Linked DNA regions of Oryzias latipes. The protein of the gene in region 3 interacts with the protein of the main gene of each other region in a biochemical or structural test. Links are inferred from orthologs where the notes say so. Each region holds a gene or a part of one and is shown on either strand. Other genes may lie near its edges.

The links.
Region 1: the proteins of sgta (region 3) and bag6 form a complex in vitro, tested with the Homo sapiens proteins (4 studies listed by BioGRID, with this or other methods). The link is inferred for Oryzias latipes from reciprocal best matches to the Homo sapiens genes SGTA and BAG6.
Region 2: the proteins of sgta (region 3) and ubl4a form a complex in vitro, tested with the Homo sapiens proteins (3 studies listed by BioGRID, with this or other methods). The link is inferred for Oryzias latipes from reciprocal best matches to the Homo sapiens genes SGTA and UBL4A.
Region 4: the proteins of sgta (region 3) and heat shock protein HSP 90-alpha form a complex in vitro, tested with the Homo sapiens proteins (2 studies listed by BioGRID, with this or other methods). The link is inferred for Oryzias latipes from reciprocal best matches to the Homo sapiens genes SGTA and HSP90AA1.

Annotation. Positions count from the first base shown.
Region 1 is NC_019874.2:28,119,820-28,124,130, reverse strand, and holds the start of bag6 (large proline-rich protein BAG6), read right to left. Parts: upstream 2,802-4,311; 5' UTR 2,677-2,801; intron 1,919-2,676; exon of another isoform or gene 1,917-1,918; 5' UTR 1,910-1,916; coding exon 1,829-1,909; intron 1,744-1,828; coding exon 1,626-1,743; intron 1,386-1,625; coding exon 1,171-1,385; intron 20-1,170; coding exon 1-19. Other genes in the region: glrx3 (glutaredoxin-3), read left to right, coding at 2,853-3,833. UniProt on the Homo sapiens protein: ATP-independent molecular chaperone preventing the aggregation of misfolded and hydrophobic patches-containing proteins.
Region 2 is NC_019867.2:16,994,919-16,999,228, forward strand, and holds ubl4a (ubiquitin-like protein 4A), read left to right. Parts: upstream 1-1,509; 5' UTR 1,510-1,657; coding exon 1,658-1,705; intron 1,706-2,895; coding exon 2,896-3,001; intron 3,002-3,089; coding exon 3,090-3,295; intron 3,296-3,491; coding exon 3,492-3,599; 3' UTR 3,600-4,083; downstream 4,084-4,310. Other genes in the region: cGMP-dependent protein kinase 1-like, read right to left, coding at 30-147, 220-406. UniProt on the Homo sapiens protein: As part of a cytosolic protein quality control complex, the BAG6/BAT3 complex, maintains misfolded and hydrophobic patches-containing proteins in a soluble state and participates in their proper delivery to the endoplasmic reticulum or alternatively can promote their sorting to the proteasome where they undergo degradation.
Region 3 is NC_019862.2:5,204,953-5,208,463, forward strand, and holds part of sgta (small glutamine-rich tetratricopeptide repeat-containing protein alpha), read left to right. Parts: intron 1-238; coding exon 239-342; intron 343-1,815; coding exon 1,816-1,906; intron 1,907-3,054; coding exon 3,055-3,154; intron 3,155-3,254; coding exon 3,255-3,359; intron 3,360-3,511. UniProt on the Homo sapiens protein: Co-chaperone that binds misfolded and hydrophobic patches-containing client proteins in the cytosol. Mediates their targeting to the endoplasmic reticulum but also regulates their sorting to the proteasome when targeting fails.
Region 4 is NC_019882.2:17,294,733-17,298,760, reverse strand, and holds the start of heat shock protein HSP 90-alpha, read right to left. Parts: upstream 2,802-4,028; 5' UTR 2,642-2,801; intron 1,779-2,641; coding exon 1,629-1,778; intron 1,343-1,628; coding exon 976-1,342; intron 893-975; coding exon 759-892; intron 676-758; coding exon 352-675; intron 270-351; coding exon 104-269; intron 15-103; coding exon 1-14. Other genes in the region: heat shock protein HSP 90-alpha 1, read right to left, coding at 3,374-3,483, 3,577-3,910, 3,998-4,028. UniProt on the Homo sapiens protein: Molecular chaperone that promotes the maturation, structural maintenance and proper regulation of specific target proteins involved for instance in cell cycle control and signal transduction.

The sequences.
Region 1 (4,311 bases), on a different chromosome or scaffold from region 3:
CCATCTGCTGAACAGACATCTAGGAGACACAAGAATCACACAGCTTTAATGTACAGTTAGTGTCTTTATTATATAAGTATTATATACTTTATCATATCATTGAGTAATTTTCGGCTTAAACCACAGTCTTCAAGCAATCACAAAGTGGACTAAGAGTCATAATTGCAATTGTTATTATTTATTATTTTACTTTCTCCCTCTTTGAGACCTAATTAGACCCCTAATATGCATGAAAATCCGCAAAACTGATTCAAAAATTTGTCATAAAAAGTAAACGATTTGTTCTCTTCCAACAAAAAAAACTAAGTAAAATTGGGCCAGTAAAACCTTTTTTTTATATATATATATCCCCTAAGAAAGAGCCATCCAGTAAAAATCATTAAATTTCTTTATGCTCCATCTTCACTGATGTCATGGACCATGGAATGTAGAGGAGCGGGTGGGGTTTTACTGTGGCACCATTTTCAGATGGGGCTGCAGAGTTAGAGGATGAGCATCACGCCTTAATCCTGTTCTGTTGCAGCACAGGCCGAGGAGAAGCTGCTGGGGGCAGCAGACAGACCTGGGGGGCTGTTGATGGGCCCATGGTGCAGGGTGGCAATGGTCATTCAACAGTCGTTGCAGCTTTAAATGTATTTGTTTTTAGGATAATTTAGCAAACCCATCAAGATGACATGAACAGAGTTCATATGCCGGAGTCTCTAAAGTCCATCTTTGTCCATTTTCCCTTTAACATCTCCACACAATATGATCGGACATAGTGGAAAATGCTGAGATGAAAACAATGCAGAGATCACACAGAACAATTCACTTGTGCTCTGCGTGATAAACCGACTACATCTAGATGGTTTTAAAATCTGAAATCAATCCCTGTGGTTTTATTTTCACTTTGAACGAACCCATCTGACTTTCATGTCATTTTGATCCAGAAGACTTGGTCCTTTTAAGAAAAATTTCCTGCAGGTTTGTGATCAAAGGTTGTTAACAAAAGCAGACAGCCTCATGGCAGATTGAAGGCAGCCGTTTAGAAAAGTAATGTTTCAACTTGACTGAACTCAGATCTTCATGCCGAAACACAGAGTTTAGTTGCCCTGAGCAACTGGAATCTCGTCATCTGTTGAGCAGTGCTGCCTTCATCCCTGACAACGCACACCAACAATGCAGACCTACCTGTATCTGCTGGGGGTCCATGATATTGACGGGGAGGTTGAAGGTTCCAAGCATGACATAGCTGTTGGCATTGCGATCGTGTGGAGGCACCTGCGATGCTCCCTGGGAGGATGAAGACTGCCCGCTGTCGGCTGCGGTGGCCCCTGACCCCGAGCCAGGCTGGGAGGGTGGAGGGGGGGCCCGCTCCACAAGGTGAATCACCTTTCCAGCCACATCTACAAGAGTAGCGGAGAATATGGTCAGCTAAAACAGAAGCAGTGGCAAATCAGCAGAAAGAGCAGATGGAACCAAAAACTAATTCAATGACAGAATTTTTACTTAAAAGAAATAGTTTTGAAATGCTCCTTGGTGGTGTGATTGAAAGGAGGCAGAAGGGATGTTCAGATGGAGAGACTCCCTGAAGCAACAAGCTGAAAGGTTAAGAGGAGGAAGATTTAATATATCCTTTGACTAACTGTAGTCTGCCAGCGTCCTTTCATCCTGCAGTACTCTGCCCTGGTAGATGAGCCTCTGTTTGTCCACAGGGATGCCCACTGAAGGAGAAATGTGCTCTTTGAACTCTTTAACTGTCAGCTGCAAAACAATGGATCATTTCAGTCAGATCATAAAAGACAAAAGGAAACTACCCAAATATTTACAGCAGGAACTTTCCATTTACCTGAGCACCGACTGAGTAGGTTCTGCTCTGAGAGTCCAGAGTTTTGACCGTCACTTCTATGTCTGAGGTTTGTTCATCCATAGCGTTCCTGCAATTGTATTACATCTTCAATTACAAATTATTCTGTTTATGTGACTTTTTAAAGTGTTTGTACACTTTTACAAAAATTTTGATAAGCACCAGGTTATTTAACAATCTGTTCAACAAGCATGGTGCGTCCACGGCATGTTTATAAGTTTATGAAGAACAGTGAGCGTAGTTTCCAATTTTTCAGCAATCATCTAGATCACCTCTTCTTTTTAACAAACAGGCAACGTTGAAGTGAATTTATTAACCAGCCTTTAGTCTAGAAAATAAAATCTCTAACTAAGGAATCCGGATAACTACAATCAGCTGAATTATTTAGCTCTAATTTAAAATACATTATTAACTGAGCTATTTCCTAAACAAGAATTTTAATAAACATACAATTAACGTAAAATAGCATCTATATCTTTATGTTAGACTCAGTGGGTTAAATTTGATTTAATGCTTTGTTTTTTTCCCAAAGACGGACTCCCTGTACTAGCGTTAGCCAAAAACAGTTAGCCCGGCTGTATTCGCTAAACAAGGACAGGAGCGATGTAATATTAAACTAAGATTTAGGACAGACAGTATAACAAAAGATAGAAAGTAACATATCGCCACTTGCTCTTCAGCAGGATTACTTTTTTTAGGAACCAAATAAACGCCGACTGGCTAATTAGCCAAACAGATTAGCTAAAGATGCTAACTGATCTGTCGTGTCGCTACTAATGCTTAAGCGCAGAACATTCCGTTTTTTATGCGTCACACCGTCAAACGCTTACCTTTTAAATCATACAATGTTTTTTAACGTATCCAGAGTCCACAGGAGGCTCTTATATTCAGAAAGCCGAGCACTTCTCCGGTGCGTCGCGGCTATGCTACAGCTAACAGCTTTTAGGGCTGAACGGATGTGACGTCAGAAAGCCGCCGGACTGCTGTCGAGGTCAAAGAAGCAAAGATGGCGAATGTGCTAGAGGCGACGAGCCGACAACAGTTCGAGGATTTCCTTGCAAAAGCTGGAAAAAACCTCGCGGTTGTACATTTCCAGGCGGCATGGGCTCCTCAGTGCGGCGACATGAACGAAGTGATGGCCGAGCTGGCCAAGGCACACGCGCACGCGACGTTTGTGAAGCTGGAGGCGGAGGCTGTTCCCGATGTGTCGGAAAAGTATGACATATCCTCCGTCCCCACTTTTATCTTCTTCAAGGGGGGTGAGAAGGTGGATCGTCTGGACGGGGCGCACGCTGCGGAGCTGACTAAGAAGGTCCAGGGCCTGGCGGGTAGCGGGCCCGCCCCAGGAGGAGCCGCGGACGGCGGCGCCGCGGACTTGAACCAGCGGCTGAAGAAGCTGATCAACGCGGCGCCCTGCGTGCTGTTCATGAAGGGCTCCCCGCAGGAGCCCCGCTGCGGCTTCAGCCGCCAGATGGTGGCGCTGCTCAAGGAGCACAGCGTCCAGTTCAGCACCTTTGACATCCTGTCAGACGAAGAGGTCCGTCAGGGCCTGAAGGCGTACTCCAACTGGCCCACCTACCCCCAGCTGTACGTGAACGGAGAGCTGCTGGGGGGGCTGGACATCGTGAAGGAGCTGGCCGAGTCCGGGGAGCTGGAGACCACCTGCCCAAAGGCCGTGACCCTGGAGCACCGCCTGAAGGCCATCATCAACCAGAGCCCCGTCATGCTGTTCATGAAGGGCAACAAGGAGGCGGCGCGCTGTGGCTTCAGCAGGCAGATCCTGGAGGTCCTGAACTCCACGGGGGTGGACTTTGACACCTTTGACATCCTGTCGGACGAAGAGGTCCGTCAGGGCCTGAAGGCGTACTCCAACTGGCCCACCTATCCCCAGCTCTACGTGAAAGGGGAGCTGATCGGGGGCCTGGACATAGTGAAGGAGCTGAAGGAGAGTGGGGAGCTGGAGTCGGTACTGAGGGGGGAGTCGTAGATGGACGGGGAACAGGACATCACTGCACAGGCCTGCACCAGCTGCTGCACCCCTCAGAGGTCCCAGGAGGTCAAAGAAGCTGCTCGTCGGCTTTGATCGTGGGAAACGTTCTTCTTTTTTCACAGACTTTCAGATGACGTGAAGCTGCTGACTCTCCATCCTCATCTTTATGACAAGAACACCACCAGAGAAGCTGAAAATCTACTCATGTTCACTGCAAATTCCAGCCTATAATAAATTTCCCATCAAAATAGAACAAAACGTTTCTATTTGTTTTATTTTTTGCCTGTAAAGAGGTGAACTGGCTGTAGTAAACTGAGTTTACTTTGAAATGAGAAAAAAGTTTGAACAGAGCTCATGCACTAAAGCTCACACTCAATAAAATTGTTAAAAGCAGCAGCATGTCACGTTTGTAATACATGTGGTATAGTAAGCACGTGTGACAGGTTTTCTGGCGCCACCTTGTGGGCGTAAATGT
Region 2 (4,310 bases), on a different chromosome or scaffold from region 3:
GAAGTTGGAGGAACACAGTGTGCTCTTACTGTTGACTTTTGTCACAGCTTTTGTGTGAAATCCTGGCGAGAGTCACGGGGTCCGGGCTGAAGGGTTCTGAAATGACTGTGTGCTTTTTAGCTCGCTCCATGCCCTCAATTTGAGGAGCTATAAAAAATAATTGAGATTTTTAGGTCACGTCTACAACCTGTACTTTTAAATGATTGACCTACTCTTTACCTGCACTGGGTGAGGGTCCTGAGAGGCAAACAGTGGTCCTGTAACGGTCCAGTTCTTCCTGTAGCCTTCGAATGAGTTCATCCTTTGTATCCAGTTCAAGCTCCAACTCATCTATGAGTGTGTCTCTCTGGCGGAGCTCCTCGATTTTTAGTTGCAGAGCAAACTGGAGGTCCCTCAGTGTACCCATGATCTGCAGGCATCAGCCAGGAAAGCACAAAGATAAACAGCTCGTTGCTATGAGAATAAAAAAGAAATTGTAATTTTTTATTTCACAAACTTAAATATGAAAAATATTATGCATATCTATCTATGTCAAAATGCTGCCTTGCAATTGTAGCACACATTTCCATCCAGGTTAAAGGCAAAAACAATTCATTGTCAAGTGCATCATAAGTTTATCCCACTAAAAAGAATACATTTTCAGAGTAAACAAATTATACTTTTTTTTATTATGTACGTTTTATGTGAAGCTGCAAGGTTTTATGTAGGCTATATAAAAATTGTCAAAAGAGAAAAAAACAATAACAAAGATAAATTGTCTTTATCATCTTAAATTTAATTACACTCAGCCACAGATCCATTGTTTTTTCAACACCTAATTGATGGATGGTACACAAATGCTACTCACCGGTGTAGGTGAGCAGTCCGCCTGGCGTCCTCAAGTGAAGGATGCTGGTCAGGAGGAATGCCCACAGCGCAGACAGGCGGTCACGTGACGCGGGCTCCCTCCAACCACGAGGAGGGGGAACAGAATGACACATGCACAGGCTGGATCCGAACTGGGTCAGAGGAAAGTAGTTCTAATGGGAAAATTTGACACTAAATTTTGCTTTCGGAAAGAAAAAAGAACGAGCATCTGCCCGACTTTGGACATTAAAAAAATGTCAATGCTGTAAACGCATTTTTTGTGAAAATCTTTTTGTGTATTGAACATAAGCAATAGAAGGTGGTCAGGTAATTATGGGTAAATTGTAACAGTAATCTACAGGTGAGTCGGATCCAATTTTCTTTTCAAATTGACAAACACGTTACTATTCAAATGTAATGTAATGACAAAAGTTTATCACCATGTTTTTTGTCTGTCAAAGGAAAAAAAACACCCATGTGTGTACAGGTGTATTGGCACAGTATCCTGCTTAGGAGATCAATTTGGATATCATCGCCTAACCACTTTAGTTCCGATAAACTTTTAATTGAACTTTAATCGTGGTGTCATTTCTTCTTAGCTGCGGTACATCCTTCATGCCAGTAGGCGGCAGCAGCATTACTTGATGTCAGCAACAGAGGCAGTGGCATCGTTGAGAGGAAACAGGAGAAGAAGATGGGACGCTGACGGGACCACAGCCAGTGTGGCTATAACGAGCAAACTTAGTAACCCTTTTGGCTGGACTTTAATCACATTATTGTGTGTTTTTGTTTTTAGTGAGAGTGTTGAAAAATGATTCTTACAGTAAAGCCACTTCAAGGGAAGGAGTGCAGTGTTCAGGTTAGTTAAAAAATCGAACTCCATAATGCTAATTTGCACAATCAGCTAGCCGGGTATATCTGTTAGCCGCTCAGCATCATAAGTTTTTTAAAGTGCTTTGAATAAAGTGAACATAAATTTAATTTATTAGTGACTGTAACTCTAACACTAACCAGTACTAAAGATGCGGTTGTACATATACACACCCGTTTATAGTTCTAAAGCAGCTTTACCGCAGCTAGCATGTTAGCTAATTTAGAAATGCAAGACGAAGAACTCTTTCTGTCTGAATCATTCTCGCTGAGGTCACGCCCAGCAGCTGAGTGGAAGTTGTTGTTACTCCTTACTTGGTGCTAATGCAGTAAAGAGAAGTGAGTAAGGAACCGCGGTGTATTAGAGGACTTTGTTTGGTCAGCGCGTTGAAACAAAAAACGGTGTTGGTATTATTTTACAGTTCAGCAGTTATATTTGCTGCTCCTGGATGTGCCTTTGTGTCAAATCAGTTAAGACATACAGTTGCATGAAAGCAGCATTATGAACCTGCTTCTCTTATCACAAATTTAGAATTGTATATATTTTTCATTTACATAAAGTAATCATTTTAAAACTCCACAGCACTTCATTAACTTTTTTAATTATGTAGTTATATATTCTATTTATAATTTTTTTTAACCAAAACATTTTTTTGGTTTTGTGTTGTTCTTATTTTGAGTACCGTAGTACTTATGATCATGTTTTTTTTCTTTAATGCCAACTTTAAAGTGTAGCGGTAATTACACATTATACATTATATATGGCTGTTCTTCAGATTAAGTCAAACATGTGCACTTAAAATTGGTCATACAAAGCCATTTAAGACATCTATTGAATTAGATTTTAAGCCGAGAATTTTATCCCAGACAAGACAGTGAGTTTTCGGCACATTTCGAAAAAAATACGAAGGCTTTGAATAAACAATATATTTGTAATTGTTTTGAATTATTGTAACAAATGTTTTTGTCTTGAGCTGATAAAACGTTTTCACAATAGGTACTTTGTTACTTTATTACATAAAATGAATTATTTATTTTGCCCGTTTAATACTGTTTTTATGTATTCATTTTTTTTATTATTGCATCCTTAGAACTTGTTTTCCCCGCAGTCTTTCTATACCAGTTGACTCTATTGTTCTTGTTTAAATTACAGTTTAAGAATTTGTTTTTATCCCACAGGTGACAGAAGATGAAAAGGTTTCCACAGTGAAGGAACTTGTTTCTGAGCAACTCAACATACCAGCAAACCAGCAGCGGCTGCTTTACAAAGGAAAGGCACTGGCAGGTAAAATTTGCCTACTACTTTTTTTTCTTTCCTTTATACTTTTGTCAGGTTCATAATTTATCTTTCTGTATGCCCTTTTTTCTTTCAGATGAACACAGACTTAGTGATTATTCCATTGGACCAGAGGCTAAATTGAACCTAGTAATCCGTCCTGCAGGAGAAAGATCTGCAGCCTCAGCAGTGACTGGCTGCAGCAGCAGGAACATGGGAGGACTGTGGCAGACTGTGTCCACTATACTTGCTAGACACTTCAGTCCAGCAGATGCAGCAAAAGTTCATGAACAGCTTATAAAGGTAAGATAAGTTTTTATTCATGGTTTCCCAAAAGTTGTAATGGTTAAAGTTCTGTTACTGCCTTTCAAACCCACTATATAAATTATATTACAAAACGAATGTCTATTTTAACTATTTAAAATAATTTGTCATGTTGTGAGCTTGACAGTTAAGCTCCTCTTTGTTATTACTAAACTTTGTTTTTGTTTGTTTTTAGGACTATGAACGTTCACTTCGACAGCTCAGCCTGGATGACATTGAACGACTAGCAGTGCGATTGCTTCACCCTGACAGCGAGAGCATGGACACCTCCTACATGGACTAGCATTGGAAAACCTAAATCTACTTTGTATGAATAGATTTAGGAGAAACTACATGTTTGGGAAAATAAATGTGAGGCCATTGAGAATACAATGTGTGCCTAATCAGTGATTATTGATATTGCTGACTTGTGTCAGTGACTAATGTTTATCTCAGCAATAGGGCTTTCTCATGTGTGTTTTCTCTTCTATTTTTAATATTGACACCATTTGTTGAAAGACTAGTTTTTTTTGTGTAAAATCAAAACACAAAAACATTGTTTCGTGCTAATGTTGCTTGATTTCTGGCTGCTGCAATTCCAGGCAACACTAACTTCCACTTGAGACTATTTATTATTCATGTCAGCGTTGAATGATGCCTGTTTTTATTTTATTTTTTTCATTTAAACGTGGGATAAAAGAATACACACATCTTTTATTGTTCAGATGGCCATTGTGCGATTTGTAAATATTGTTTATATATGACGACAATAAAAGATCAAGAAATTACTACGTTTTTTTGTTTTTTTTACGTTGTATTGTGAGAAATAGTTGTGTTTTGTGTAAATATTGCCGGTTTGGAAACAAGGAGAAGGAAGACTGAAGAGAATGTCGCAAGGCGGGACATTTTATTTTACCGCTGGGCGAGAACAATTAAGGGAGCCAATGAAGCAATAGCAAGACACGTGATCTATGTTTTTTGACCAATCAGGTGGGTTGCCACCAACGCTCCGCCC
Region 3 (3,511 bases):
TTAAGCTTTATTGTGTGAAGTGAGTTGTAATGCAGAGAAGGCTTTTGGTCTGTGGACCGGCCTCCTCCAGCCTCGGCTGTGATTCTTCTGCTTGATCTTTTTACCCAGCATCCTCTGGGCTGTGATGGTTACTCTGCTAAGGTTTTCTGTGGCGTTTTGAACTAAAGTGTCTTTGGTTTGATCAGAGTTCAATGTCTCTGTGTGAGCTGCCTTCTCATGGCTTTGGGTCCCTCTGCAGTTGCCGTTCAGTGTTTGGAGACGGCGTTTGACGTTTCCACGGATGACCAGAGCCTCGCCGTGCCCGTGACGTTACCAGAGATCTTCGCCAGCGCCACGGCACAGGTACTCGGTCTTTATTGCTGACACTTCATACTGGACTTTGGTTCATATCCAGAACTTGTTTTTAAGTCAGGGCACATATTTCATATGGTGCTTTCTATGTGTAATTGCTCCTGTTGCTTTTCTGTGACCAGAAAGTTATTTCTATTAAATCCCAGAATTAAAAAACCAAATAAATAAAAGTTGACTATTTATCCCACAATGGGGACGTTTGTTCTCCACATTTGACCCATCCCCTGTGGGGGCGGTGAGTAGCAGACACAGGGGATGGGTCAAATGGTGGTTTAACTCCCCAATCCAACCCCTTAATGCTGAGTGTCACGCAGGGAGGCATTGGTGAGCCTGGGTTTGAACTCATGAACGTTCAGTTACAGGGCTGACACTCTAACCACAAGGCCACTGAGCTGGTCCAAGGGCCCTCACTGGGTGATGTTAATTGCTCACAATTAACATTTGCCCCATTAACATTGCTTGACATAATTGTTCATTCCCCCCCCCCCAGGAATCGAACTGGTTTCCTGCATGCCAGTTGTTCACCTTACCAACCGAGCTACCCAGCCAAATAAGATGCCCAGTTTCTAAAAGTCCCACTCTGGTTATCTTTATTTATCTCTATTTGGTTTTAACCCAAATCAGAAAAACCTGTCGTTTTCTAGGACATAGTTTCTGCAGAGCAGCAGGACTTAAGCTGTGGGTTGGTCCGTTGCTGCAGAGAGAGTGGCGCTTTGTTTACACTCTCTCCCACTAGCTTACAGCCCCTCACTCCCCCAACTTAACAGTAGCGGTGCAACATAAATGGCGAGCAATATTGGAGCTATCCAGCTTTTGATCCAGACTCCAGCTTAGACGAGGAAAACAAAGACGGACGTGGATCCATTTGTCTCTAAGTGGAGCGGCGCAGGGAGCTTGTGGCCCGCTCAGAGTATTATCTACACCACAAAACATCTCTTTTTCAAATGGCTTTTTTTTATTTGTCTGCTCCTGATTCACAAGGATTTGAATAGGAAATGCAATTTGAAGCCTAATTTTCTTGATTATCCTCAGAAACATGCTACACGAACATTTTGAAATCACCAAAAACATTTTTATTTTTTTTATCAGTGTGGGTCTTTGAAGGCAAACCACACATTTCTGTCCCGAGCTTCTGCATTAAAGAATGAGTTGTTTTCTATAGTCTCTGCTATTTGTTTCCGCTGAGACTTTCAGATGATCAGCTTTTGGTGTGAATACCAGCCGGTAGCAGTTTATTGCTGATCCCTAATCTAAAAATGTTCTTTCTGTCCTCATTCTTGCGTGTATCCTGGATATTAATAATTTGTTCCGTAACCTTCTTGAACACTCCCAGTTCTGAGCCCAAAGGATCTTTGTTGGTGACTGAGCGTCGGAATCACTGCTGTGCTTCAGAAAGTTTGGACTGCTGAAATCTCCACAGTGACATGTTGTCTGACGGGACGTGGTGTCTGCTTCCTCTGACAGTTTCCGGCTCAGTCCCAGGTAAACAACAATTCCAGGACCAGCTCCCCGACGGAGGAGCAGAGGGCGGAGGCCGAGCGGCTGAAAAGTGACGGTGAGTTTAGAGATCCTCCCGTCATTTGGGCTCAGACTGCATAGATGTGAACAGCTGATCAGCTGATCAGCTGCAGCCCAGTCAACCTTCAGAAACCTCAGTGTTTTAGCTCAAGTTCCTGAACTACAGCCAACAAAGAAGGAGCACAAAAAGATTGAAAAATGCACAAACATACATTTAAAAGCTGGACTCAGGCATCCATAGAACAGAATAAACTAAGAAAAAAAAAAGAATTCAACCACTTAACAGATGATCAGACCAGCAAACACAGTACTGTCTAAACGTTTCACATGGACGGACAGATTTAGTGAGATGAACAGGACTTTTAAGTATCAATATTTAATGTAAATATTATCTTGATCAGGCTGCACCTTCCCTTACAGCAAGAAGGTCCCTGGTTCAAGTCCCGGCTGGGGGACCAGAGACAGAACATCCATGAGGGGCCTTTCTGTGTAGAGTTTGCATGTTCTCCCTGTGGATGCGTGGGTTTTCTCCGGGGACTGCGGCTTCCTCCCAACGTCCAGAAACGTGCTTCATAGGTTCATTGGTTACTCTAGATCAGGGGTGGGCAATTCCAGGCCTCGAGGGCCGGTGTGTCTGCATGATTTCCAGATAGTCTTGCCCTACTCATGGCTGATTACATGGTTCAGGTGTGTCCAGCCAAAGCAGGGTATGCTGGAAAACATGCAGGAATGCGGCCCTCAGTGCCCACCTCTGCTCTAGATTGTCCTTGGGTGTGAATGTGAGAGTGCATGTGTGTGTGATTGTGGCCCTGCAACAAATGTTGACCTGTTCAGGGTGCCCCCTGCTTTCGCCCGCAAGGGGCCGGGATAGGCTCCAGCAGCCCGTGACCCCGAAAGGGACAAAACCGAATAGAAAATGAATGAACAATCATTTTAATGTCTTTATATAGAAAATGGTTTCATGAATTGCTTGTTCTTGTAAAAGTTTCCGATCATGGTTTGAGACCCGCGTCTTTCTGCTCTGACATTAAAGCGAAGTTCAGAAACCGTCCACCTGATTGTCTCAGGAAGATCAGCAGAATCCCGTCTGCTCATTTCCATCCTTTTCTGCTGCTTCTAACACGAATGGTGAGCTCATCCCAATGCAGGACTGCTCCAGACGTCATAACGTTCAATCTCCTGCAGGAAATGACCAAATGAAGGTGGAGAACTTTGCCGCCGCCGTGGAGTTTTACTCGAAGGCCATCGCCCTGAACCCCCAGAACGCCGTCTACTACTGCAACAGGTGAGTGAGGCCGGATCCCCACCAACACTAGAATGAAAGAAGTTCACTAGGCTCACGAAGAACCCCGTCCAGACCTGAAGGAGGTTGTTTCTCCCTGCAGGGCGGCAGCGTTCAGCAAACTGGGGAACTATGCCGGCGCCGTGCAGGACTGTGAGCAGGCCATCGGCATCGACCCCAACTACAGCAAAGCTTATGGGCGGATGGGGTGAGACTGCAGACCCATCAATATTTTAGTCAACTACAGTGTTCCCTCGCTGTATGGCGGTTCACCAGCGGTTTCTCCGATTCTTTTCAGAGCAAGTTAACATGTTTGTTTTTAAACAGTGCTAGGATTGTCAATCAATCTTCTGTACCGAG
Region 4 (4,028 bases), on a different chromosome or scaffold from region 3:
ACCCCTGATGAAATCTGACAAATGAAAAGTAGAATTCAGTTTAGTCATTTTGCTCCCCGCTCACCTCAGATTAGAATAGAATCCAGCAGGTCCGGACACTTACTGAGATACTCAGGGATGAGCTCATCACAGTTGTCCATGATGAAGACTCTACGCACGTAAAGCTTGATGTTGTTCTTCTTCTTTTTGTTCTCAAACAGGTCAAAGGGGGCACGGCGGGGCACGAAGAGGAGGGCACGGAACTCCAGCTGCCCTTCCACTGAAAAATGCTACAGAGGAAGGAAAGGGGGGGTTCAGAAAATGTTTCCCTTGAGACCAGATTTCCCCTCAACTTCCATCTGAATCACCAACCTTGACAGCCAGGTGATCCTCCCAGTCGTTGGTGAGACTCTTGTAGAACTCCCCGTACTCCTCGTTGGTGATGTCGTCTGGGTTGCGGGTCCACAGTGGTTTCGTTTTGTTCAGCTCCTCCTGGTCGATGTACTTCTCCTTGATCTTCTTCTTTTTTTTCTTTTTGTCTGAGGACTTGTCATGGTCATCCTCTTCATCTGACCCCACATCCTCAATCTCAGGTTTGTCCTCATCCTTCTCTTCCTCGTTCTTCTCCTTGTCTTTCTCCTTCTCCTCTTCCTCAGCCTCGTCGTCACTCACCTCCTTGTCCCGCTCCTTCTCCACCTGCAACCACAGAAGGAACAGTTTCAGCTCACTCGGATCAGAATACATCCCCTCGAAGTAAAATACAGGGTTCTGATACGTACAAAGAGTGTGATGGGGTAGCCGATAAACTGAGAGTGTTTCTTCACAATCTCCTTGATCCTCCTCTCCTCCAGGTATTCTGACTGATCTTCTTTCAGGTGGAGGATCACTTTGGTTCCTCGGCCCAAAGGCTCAGCTAGACATTGAAACCAAGAGTCAGTCAGCACACGAGAACCACAAACACCAGAAGCTGACATTCAAAAGCCTCACATTACTTACAATTGTCCAGTTTCACTGTGAAGGAGCCTCCAGCAGAGGATTCCCAAGCGTACTGCTCGTCGTCGTTGTGTTTGGTGATGACCGTCACCTTCTCAGCCACCAAATATGCAGAGTAGAAGCCCACGCCGAACTGCCCGATCATGGAGATGTCGGCTCCGGCTTGTAAAGCCTCCATAAATGCTTTAGTTCCAGATTTGGCGATGGTTCCCAGGTTGTTGATCAGGTCCGCTTTGGTCATTCCGATTCCCGTGTCCATCAAGGTCAGCGTCCGCTCCTGTTTGTTTGGCGTGATTTCGATTTTGAGTTCCTTTCCCGAGTCGAGCTTGGCGGGGTCAGTCAGGCTCTCGTAACGGATTTTGTCCAAAGCCTGTCGGAACAACGGATCCATGAACTTCCTTTTAGACGACCTGCTCACTTTTCATTTAGTACAACTGCAGCCAAAATGCAATTCTATGGGATTTAAATGGAATTTAAATTCATAAAAATAAAAAGCAGATAAAAAAAAAAAAAAAAATTCAATCAAAAAGAGACAAAGCCCAATGAGCACTGCCTAAGAAGAAACTGTCCAAGAATAATCAGTGAATTTAATAAATTAGCATTAGATTCAGTGCAGATGAAATATAGAAAAAAATCTTAGGCTTGTGTAAACTTACATCTGAGGAGTTAGAGATAAGCTCTCTGAGGAAGATCTCCTTGTTGGAATAGAAGGTGTTGATGATCAAGGACATAAGCTGAGCGATCTCAGCCTGGAATGCGAAGGTCTCAGTCTCCTCCTCCATTGGTTGGTCATGCATCTCAGGCATCTGAGTAACAAGAAAATATATCCTTTAGCTTAAGTTAACTAAAAATTAACCTTTAGTTATTGTTCCAAACACAAACAGCTTTATAGTCAAGATAGTGGGTTTAATAGAATGAGGGACACAAAAAATGAGTAATCTGGTAAAGTAGAGTCTATTATTTTGAAAAAAAAAATAATAATTCTAATCCTTAAAATTCAGATATACAATCCCCTTTTATAATCCTCCTTTAAAATTGGTTTTCAGTTCACCAAGTCCGAAACTAAAAATCTCAAAAATATAAAAAAAATTGTTTACATTTTAAATATTTAATTAAATTTGAAAAATCTTTTGAACAAGTCTCCAATGGCCTTTTTCTCCATCTCTTCCATTTGCGCAGCAGTGTCGCCCTCTGCTGGTTACCCAGCGTAAGGCGAGTTTCTAGAAGGTACCAGGAGGAGAGCAGAGCACGCGCAGCTTCACGAGGAGCAGAAAGTCGCTGCTCTCATCAACCGTTTTCAGAGTTCGTATGAATGAGATGTCCGCACAAAAAAATAAAATAAAATACCGGGACCAGCTCGCCCGGCTAAAACAACGGCTTAAAACTATAACAACAACAATTAAATAACCCGTAAGCGCATAATGTTATACTGCTGACACATGCAGGGCAGCAGCATCTCATCATTACCACTCGACTGGACAAAAAAAGTGGTTCCTTTATTAACCCTTAGAGAAAAATTAAACATTTGAGTAAATAGTTTGTGGCTAAATGCTTAAAAAGTAATTCACCCTAATAATCAACGAAGTGTGCAAAGTTAACAGATTTAAGAACCTTATTTTAGTCTCTAATCACGACGAGTCCTGCAGCTCATTGTGAGTGCATCATTTACCTTGGTCCTCCGTGGGAGTGGAATGCTCCGCTATTGATCGCTGTTTCTCGCTTTCGTCGCTCCACTGCTTCAAAATCTGTCCCGCCGTTCGTCTCTCCGCTATTTGTACTCTTTCAGAGGCTTCGAGAAAAAACCCTGACGGGGGCTTCCAGAAGCGTCTGGAATCCTCCCGGCTGCGGCTTGGTGGTGCTCGCTGATAGGCTGAGCTACACGTCTGTCAACGCCCGGTCCCCGCCCATTTCACCATATTTGGTGTTGGTAGGTGGAGAATGTGGAGAGACTATACCAAGCGAGGAACACGTGTAGGAGTGGGATCTAGAAAGAACCACGCTGTGTGCATTGAAAATTCCAGAACTAGAAAGAAAAACCTTTTCAAGTTACGAACTTTCTTAATTAAAATGTGCTTCACATTTGCAGAATTGGTATTTGACATTTTTGGCTTTGAATATTTTAAAGTTTAGCATGCATTAGGTTAAAAAAGACAAAAGGCTCTAACCATTATATTTTATTAAAAATTTTAAAGTTTTACATACAAAATGTAAAAGTTACAAAAGAAACACAAGTGAAAGCTGAGAAACTTTTTATATAGCGAATTGAGTTTTTAAATGTTTCTATATACAGTGTTTCCATTTTGGCAAAAGTCAATTAATGTCTGTATTTGTTTTGTCCAGGCAATACAACACATGTTACAAAAATAAAATAAAAAACCTTTGAAAGGCCTGAAAAAAACATTTAGTCAACTTCTTCCATTCTTGATGTGTCATCATCTCCCTCCAATACTGGCATATCTTCATCAGTCGGCTGAATGATGTCTTCAACTGCAGAGTCGTCATCATCAATTCCTACAAAAACCAGACAGCATTCTTTAGCAACCAACCAATCTGAACTGTGGGAATTGTAATTGTGTTTGCAGGTATATAGGAAGTAAAACATACCAAGACCCAGTTTGATCATCCTGTAGATGCGGTTAGCATGTGTTTGAGGGTCCTCCAGGGTGAATCCTGAAGACAGCAGGGCGGTCTCAAACAGCAGGATAACCAGATCCTTCACTGCTTTATCATTCTTGTCCACTTCAGCCTTCTCCCGTAGTGTCTCGACGATTGGATGGAGTGGGTTGATCTCCAGATGCTTCTTGGCTGTCATGTATCCCATGGTGGAGTTGTCCCTTAGGGCCTGGGATTTCATGATCCTCTCCATGTTAGCCGTCCAGCCATAGGTGCTGGTGACGATGCAGCATGGGGAGGAGACCAGGCGGTTGGAAACTGTGACCTGTGGAAGGAGAAACAAAGTTTTTAATGATGAAATTCTGGTGATTGATCAAAATTTATGAGGTAAACCCATTTTCCAAGAGCATACCTTTTCAATCTTTTTGTCCAGTATATCTTTC